Linked DNA regions of Xenopus tropicalis. The protein of the gene in region 1 purifies or fractionates together with the protein of each later gene. This does not show direct contact. Links are inferred from orthologs where the notes say so. Each region holds a gene or a part of one and is shown in the gene's direction. Other genes may lie near its edges.

Region 1 (4,226 bases):
GCATTCTCTTGGCCGAGAGGCACTTTGCTTGGTAAAGCAGGCACGTGTGGTATCCCTGGTATAACACTTATGCATAGAAATAAGGCTCCCTGTGCAGAATAAATGACTTTGGGGGTTTTCAGTACACATTAATAGGAAAATGATATCCTTTCTCAGATATGGTGTATTGCTCCTTTCAGAGGGAGAACCAACAAATGTACAGTAAATGCATGTATCTGGATTACATGAAGGCTCATGTGGGAAGAGAAGAAGAGATATATATATATTTATGTTTGTCACCGCTGCTCTATTTTAGACATTTTAAAGATTATTATTGGGCTCATGTTCATAACTGTGGATTATCTATTTAAATGCAGTGACACCATGAGGAACCTGGGTATGTAAGAATTTGCACCTACTATTGGGGCATCCCACACAGGCTGCTTCTTTACAACAACTGACCAATTGGCAAAGAGAAAGATGTGGTATAAGATTTTTTTTACCCCTGGAAATTCTTGCTCTTCCCCCAGAATTGCAGAGTCTTTATGTATCTTTATGTATACAATACAAACTGTATATTATACTCAAGGGAAGTAAGAACAATTGAGTGTAATTAGTGAAATTAAAACTCCATTATTTTCAGTGTGTACATTTGGGCTGTAGTTAAAGTAGTGGTTCACCTTTATTTTAACTTTTATTTTGGTATAGAATGGCCAATTCTAAGTGACCTTTCAATTGGTCTTCATTATTTGTTATAGTTTTTGAATTATTTGTCACCATCTTTCAACTCTTTGCAGTTTTTAAATGGGGGTCACTGAAAAAACTATTGCTCTGTGAGGCTCCAGTTTTATGGTTATTGTTACTTGTAACTTTCTTTTCTATTCAGTCCCTCTTTTATTCATCCAAACCACCCCCTGGTTGCTAAGGTAACTTGGACCCTAGCAACCAAAATAGCTGCTGAAACGCCAAACTGGAGAGCTACTGAACTGCGCCTAATGATGCAGGCAGGACCTCGAACCTACCATCAACTCCTGACTGTAATGTAGCTCCAGGGTTCCCTTTGTGCCCAGCGTCAATAGGCACATTTAATTTACACACAAAAAATCGAGCGCAAGTGTCACTCACATGTGGAACACAGGAATGGCAGCAGGCAGACTTCCTTGTGATTGCATCTACTCTGTGACAAAATGCACACATAGTTGCGTTCATTTTGGTGAATCTGGCGCAATTGCACCCTTGGGGACTACATTGGCATTGGAATTCTGGGGCAAAAAACCTGTGCTGTGGGGAGAAAAACCATGGCAATTGCACTTTGAAAACTGCACTCACAGTTGTAAACGAGCCCTGTACTCTTTGGATCAAATTAAGCATAAATCCTTTGCTACCTCCTTAGTTACTAGCAGTCATAGTAATGCCTTCCCATTGTCCTGTACAATCCCCCACCCCCAGGAGCCCACTATCAACCCTGGCAGTGGGTATTCAAGAGCCCAAAGATTAAGCTGCTCCCTGTCATTGCCTACTGGCCATTACCCCCATTACTGTGGGACCCTGTAAGCTGCTCACATGTTATTTATATTGTGCCACTCACAATATTTGCAGCATTTGGGAACTGTTCCCTCACACTCAACCTGCTCATCAAGATCTTATATACCTGTTTAGCCCTGCCTTTATGAGTAGATTGAATAAACCTGTTACATACTAGCAGCTGCTTCTGTTAGATATTAGCTCCTAAGGAATGACACTTCCATGTAATTTTGCCCTGGCCAGTAGAGTTCAGCCGAAGGGGTGTGCCATGGCCCTTATGGCAGCTTGAAATCATTTAAAGGAAAAATAAACCCTAAAAATGAATATGGCACAAGATTCGGGGCTACTGGAGGCATCTAATGAGGCACAGATTGTCACTTGGGCTGTACAAAAGCTTTGTTGTCATATTCTTTTCTCCCATCAGAGAACATAAATGTATTTGCAAATAATACTTCACTCTTGCTATTCATTTTGTCCCGTGTGTAATGGTTGTGTGTGTGTGTGTGTGTGTATATATATATAAATATATATATATATATAATTCCCTCTATGTTCCCAATCTTTTGCTGTTTCTCCTATAATAGAATAGCATTGAACATAATTAGAACCAATTTTGATTTTATAAAGGTTGAGATAAAATACAATTTATGTGTTACATTTATTTATGTTCTCCCTTCTGTGTTTTATCATCTTGATTTCATTCTGTACTGACAAATCCTATGGTACCTATCGGTTTCATAAGAGGAAGGAAGGCAAAATGATGTGTGTGGCTCATAAAAACTGAAGGAAATGAATTTCGTACTTGAAATACAGGTTTTCCCAGGACTGCAATTTTAGCAGCTTCTGAATTGAAAAATGACTGATGCAGAAAAGAAAATTAACATAATCTTTCTGTGCAATGAAATCCTGCTAGCTCTGTTTAATGAAAATCCAATGTGACTAATAACCATTAAAGAGGGCTTCATTTTTCCCATCATGCTCCTCAAGACTGTATATTTATTCAATGGAAAACAACTTTCTATCAGGTAGAGGAGTTGTTTCCAGTTAGATGTAGTTCTGGCACTGGGAGCAGCTAGGGGGGCGCCTTCAAAATGTCGTACATTAAACTCACACTCGCTTAGGGAATTCTTAAACTCTACTCATGTCCTGAGTCCGTATTCAGACACACTAACCCCATAGTAGTCAGTGAGATCAGTAATAAAGCTAATAATCTCTCAAAAGAGAGAGGCTGCATCTTGCCAGATGGTCTCAGATATTTCCATTTATCTGACTAGTTAAACAGTCCCTATAGCTCCATGTTTTATCTTCCTTTTCCTTACAACATGTAAAATCTCTATTTTATGCTTTTCTCTGTTTTGTTGTTTAAACATTGATTTTTTGCAATGTTCAACTGCCGTTATGTCTTAGGGTCCTTCCTTATTACACCCATTGCCCTCCTGCAGTGTTACATGCCTCTGACGAGACCAGAGGAATGGCTTAGCGCTTCAGCAGGAGGGGGGGCATTAAGGCTTTTATGAGTTTATACCTCACACCTCATAGTGTGAAAGGACAAGTTAGATTTGGCATTGACAGTCACCTTTTCTTTTACAGATGGAGTCAGGAGGAACCGTGCTGAGCACCAACTGGACAGATGTGGGCAAGAAGAAAGTAGACGTAAATCCCCCAGATGATATGGAATGGAAACAATACTAGTTATCCTGCTGCAGTCCGTACGTTTATTGAAGCAGTCTGATGCACAACAAGCTGATGAGACATCACTCCTTACCTTTTGCGCCCTTTCTTTTCCCAGAATGCTAATTGTTTGCTGCTTCCATTAAATGTTGCACAAAGTGAATGAAATGACAAGCGAGCCTAATCCTTTATTCCTGTTTTGTTAGGAGCCAGCCCTGTAGTATGTATATAGTGATTTCTGATGCACATTCACTCAGATAACTTATTGGCCGGAGGTGCAGCTCTCCTGTCAGCTTGTTGGAAATCTTTCTCACTGACCCACTCTTGGCCTTTTTATCAACTGCAAATTATAAATATACTTTTTCAATGATTTGTTGGTGCTTTATTGATACAAAGGTGCTGAAGATGCTGCCTGCACTCTGTCGCACACATGTGGGGTTAGAGGCGTATGTGTTAGTAATGTGAATGGCTGTTGTGTTTCATTTGCTTGTCCTGCTGGAGGCACGATGGCTGGCTGACGTGACTGCAATTATTCACCATAGGAGAGGCACAGTCCCTATACATCCTTTGTTTGTCAGAGAATACGCTAATGTTGATGAAAAGACCAACCAAATGCTGCCACCAACAAAGTATTACAATCTATGGCAGTATTCTGGTCATTGTGCAAGATCATGCTCTGGGCAAGCTGACGCCATTTAGATGTTTTTGAATACTCTGTTTAGATTAGGGCCAATAGTTCAGTAACATGTCAAGGACTAATTGGTTCCCATACTTATATAATTAGCTACTATTTAAATGCTCACCATGATATTTCATAAACTAAAATAAGCAGGGGCTAGTTAGACAGTAATAGTAGGGCAAGCACAAGATAAGGCCCAATAGCACATTATTAGTAAACCCCACTTCTATGTAAGGCCCTACCTGCCAGTTAAATAGCATATTATCAGTAAGCCCAGTTTTAAAAGCACAAGCCTAGTGCACACTTGTCAGTCAGTAGCTGATCTGTCTTCTGTCAGTGATCAACTTTCCTTAATGGGGATGCTGGGCTAGTA
Region 2 (3,826 bases), about 5.3 Mb from region 1:
CCTTAGTGACTGTGAACATAATCCAAAGCGACCGGTGACATGTGAGCAGGGTTGTGGGTAAGTAGTTATATTCTATTGCATATGCATATATATAATATATATGGCCAAAATTGTTGGCACCCCAGAAGTTTTTCCAGAAAATCAAGTATTTCTCACTGAAAAGTATTGCAGTAACACATGTTTTGCTATACACATGTTTATTGCCTTTGTGTGTATTGGAACAGAACAAAAAAGGGAGGTAAAAAAGCAAATTAGACATAATGTCACAAAAAACTCCAAAAATGGGCTGGACAAAATTATTGGCACCCTTAACTTAATATTTGGTTGCACACCCTTTGGAAAAAATAACTGAAATCAGTAGCTTCCTATAACCATCAATAAGCTTCTTGCACCTCTCAATGGGAATTTTGGACCACTCTTCCTTTGCAAACTGCTCCAGTTCTCTCTTATTGGAAGGGCGCCTTTTCCCAACAGCAATTTTAAGATCTCTCCATAAATGTTCAATGGGATTTAGATCTGGACTCATTGCTGGCCACTTCAGAACTCTCCAGTGCTTTGTTGCCATCCATTTCTGGGTGCTTTTTGACATATGCAAACCCAGCTTTCTGACACTGGGCTCTACAGTGCGACCCAAAATCCTTTGGAAATCCTCAGATTTCATGATGCCTTGCACACATTCAAGGCACCCAGTGCCAGAGGCAGCAAAACAACCCCAAAACATCATTGAACCTCCACCATATTGATGGTGATGTGCTTTACCAAAAAGCTCTATCTTGGTCTTATCTGTCCACAAGACGTTTTCCCAGAAGGATTGTGGCTTATTGAAATACTTTTTGGCAAACTGTAGTCTTGCTTTTTTTATGTCTCATAGCGTTTCATTTCATTTAAATGTCGACTGATAGCTTGCGCTGACACTGATGCCCCCTGAGCCTGCAGGACAGCTTGAATTTCTTCGGAACTTGTTTGGGGCTGCTTATCCACCATCCCGACTATCCTGCGTTGCAAACTTTCATCAATTTTTCTCTTCTGTCCTCGTCCAGGAAGATTAGCTACAGTGCCATGGGTTGCAAACTTCTTGATAATGTTGCACACTGTGGACAAAGGCAAATCTAGATCTCTGGAGATGGACTTTGTAACCTTGAGATTGTTGATATTTTCCCACAATTTTGGTTCTCAAGACAGTTTTCTTCTCCTCTTTCTGTTGTCCATGCTTAGTGTGGCACACACAGACACACAATGCAAAGATTAAGTCAACTTCTCTTCTTTTTATCTGTTTTCAGGTGTGATTTTTATATTGCCCACACCTGTTACTATTCCCAGGTGAGTTTAAAGGAGCATCACATGTTTGAAACAATCTTATTTATCCACAATTTTGAAAGGGTGCCAATAATTTTGTCCAGCCCATTTTTGGAGTTTTGTGTGACATTATGTCCAATTTGCTTTTTTTTCCCTCCCTTTTTTGTTCTGTTCCAATACACACAAAGGGAATAAATAAATAGATAAATAAATATATATATATTTTATTAAAATTTGGCGTATTATCTCCAAAAATGAATATTTACTATAACATCAGCAGTATACTAAAAGGTGAATAGAAGAAGTACTGGTAAATTACCTTTACATTGGTGTAAACCTTTACTCAGAGCAAAGATAATTTTCATCTTTCCACATGCAAAATTTCTTTATTTAGAGTACAAAAATGATTTTTTGGAGAAATCTCCCTGGGTTCAGGCTGGTGAACTTCCATTACAAAACAGAGCAGCCACCTTTTACATCTAATCTACACATCCTCTCATTGTTTTTTTTTTTAGTAGGTGACTTCAGCTTATTTTAATTATTTATCTCTAATTTCTATTATTTATTTAACGAGCAGGTGGCAACTTTGTATGTGGTGCAATTCTCTTCTCCCAGTGACCACAAAGCAGGTGCTTATTTTTGAATTCCTGTCTTTGAGGCAAGTTTTGGTTAAAACCCCAATATAGATACAAACTTTACATTAGAAAGTTTCTACCTTTTAGGTTTTAATTTCAAACTCAATTACAAAGGGAGTGACAGTGGTAAGATATATTGGGTTTCTGTTTCAATGATACAGGTATTCAGGTCCAGCAGTGTTGACTTCCATTTCCCTGCCATTTTACTTCTTTACAGGCCTTTAATCAGAGAGAATGGCATTGTGGAAATTGGAGTCTTGGCTGGGGGACAACAGAATGCTGCCACAGTGCTTCAGTGATGCTTGTAGCAACATCCAATGATGCAGTAAATAGCAAAGGCTGCTTATGGGCTTGAACTTTTAGCAGGTGGCAGCCAGATATTTACAGACAGTTTAAATAATGTTTGTGTATATCATTCTATCTTCCAGACTGGAAATGCCCAAAGATGAACTACCAAACCACAACTGCATAAAACACCTGCGCTCTGTGGTGCAGCAACAGCAGATACGGATAGGGGAGCTGGAAAAAGCAGCTGCTGAGAGCAAGCACCAGCTCTCTGAACAGGTAATGTCTTTGCATTCATTTTGTATACAATTTTAAGGGCTAGGACACACAGAGCATTGGCTACGCTGCTCTCAGGCTGAGAAAAGAGGATCCATTCCCTTCCACATCTCCATGTATCTGCACTGACAGGCACAGCTTCTGTCTGAGTACAGGTACACCGAGCAGAACGGAGTTTGGACTGAAAAATGGGAATGCAGGCATTTTTGGGCTGATCTCCATTCTGTGTACCTGCACTCAGGCAGAAGCTGTACTTGTCATTGCAGATACACAGAGCTGTGGAAGAAAGCAGTTTTAGTTCAAGACCATTGATCAAGCCAAGTTTTTCTCTCTGCATTCATCTGCCCCCAATTTTGAACAGTTCCACAGCTATAGAAACAGGCCACTCTTCTGGCCAAGGACAACTTCTTTCCTTATTACTAAGCAACATTGTAATGGAAAATATTTAGTGTCCTTATCTATTAAAGCATGCTGAGCATTTGTATTGTTTATTTTGATTTACTTTAATTCATACCATTTCTGTATTTTGTCAGATTTTGTTTTTAACCATATTAAAAAAGGCATAAAAACCTTGTTATACCTAAAGTTAAATAAAATAAATTATTTTTTATTTTGACCAAATGTGTCCATGTGTGCCTCTTTAACATCCACAGAAAAGGGATATCCAGTTGCTGAAAGCCTATATGAGAGCCATCCGAAGCGCCAATCCAAACCTACAGAACCTAGAAGAGACTATAGAGTACAATGAAATCCTTGAGTAAGTTTTATAGTATTAAATGCACAGTTTAGGCTTTCATATTACCTAACTAACATAGTAACCCTTCATATGCCATAATGTTTGAAATATTGGCAAATTGAATGCCACAAAGCTGTCTAGGTTTAGTTAAAAAAAGACCCTGGTTGTGACTGTGTGGTCAGAGACAAAAGGCCCATAATCTTCTATATCTGGTTTATCCGCCTTACTTAAATGGTCTTGTTTCATAGTGGCTTTAGTTTCAGGTTACATGGTGTTTAAGGGTGAAGACACACTGAGCTACTAGTAGCAGCTACTTGTCATAGCTACTAAACTCCAGAAAGTACCTTGACAATACTGAGAATTGCCTCTGCTAAGACACACGTAGAGACAGTTATTAGTAAATTATCATTTTAGTAGCCACGACAAGTAGCTGCTACTAGTAGTGACAAGTAGCTGCTCTAAGTGTCTTCACCCTAAGGAGCACTGGTATGGCTTCCCTGAAAACCCCCTGCAACTCATGTGGATAAGCCAAAATGGATGGGTTTAATTAGTACATGGTGGCACTAAATAGAGGCAGATTTTTTTAAATGTTTTGTCT

Evidence for each region.
Region 2: the proteins of sugt1 (region 1) and rnf41 purify together in Homo sapiens (affinity purification with mass spectrometry; 3 studies listed by BioGRID and IntAct, with this or other methods). This does not show direct contact. The link is inferred for Xenopus tropicalis from reciprocal best matches to the Homo sapiens genes SUGT1 and RNF41.

What each region holds. Positions count from the first base shown.
Region 1 is NC_030678.2:132,190,627-132,194,852, reverse strand, and holds the end of sugt1 (protein SGT1 homolog), read left to right. Parts: intron 1-3,093; coding exon 3,094-3,195; 3' UTR 3,196-3,544; downstream 3,545-4,226. UniProt on the Homo sapiens protein: May play a role in ubiquitination and subsequent proteasomal degradation of target proteins.
Region 2 is NC_030678.2:137,453,936-137,457,761, forward strand, and holds part of rnf41 (E3 ubiquitin-protein ligase NRDP1), read left to right. Parts: coding exon 1-57; intron 58-2,359; coding exon 2,360-2,495; intron 2,496-3,145; coding exon 3,146-3,249; intron 3,250-3,826. UniProt on the Homo sapiens protein: Acts as E3 ubiquitin-protein ligase and regulates the degradation of target proteins. Polyubiquitinates MYD88. Negatively regulates MYD88-dependent production of pro-inflammatory cytokines.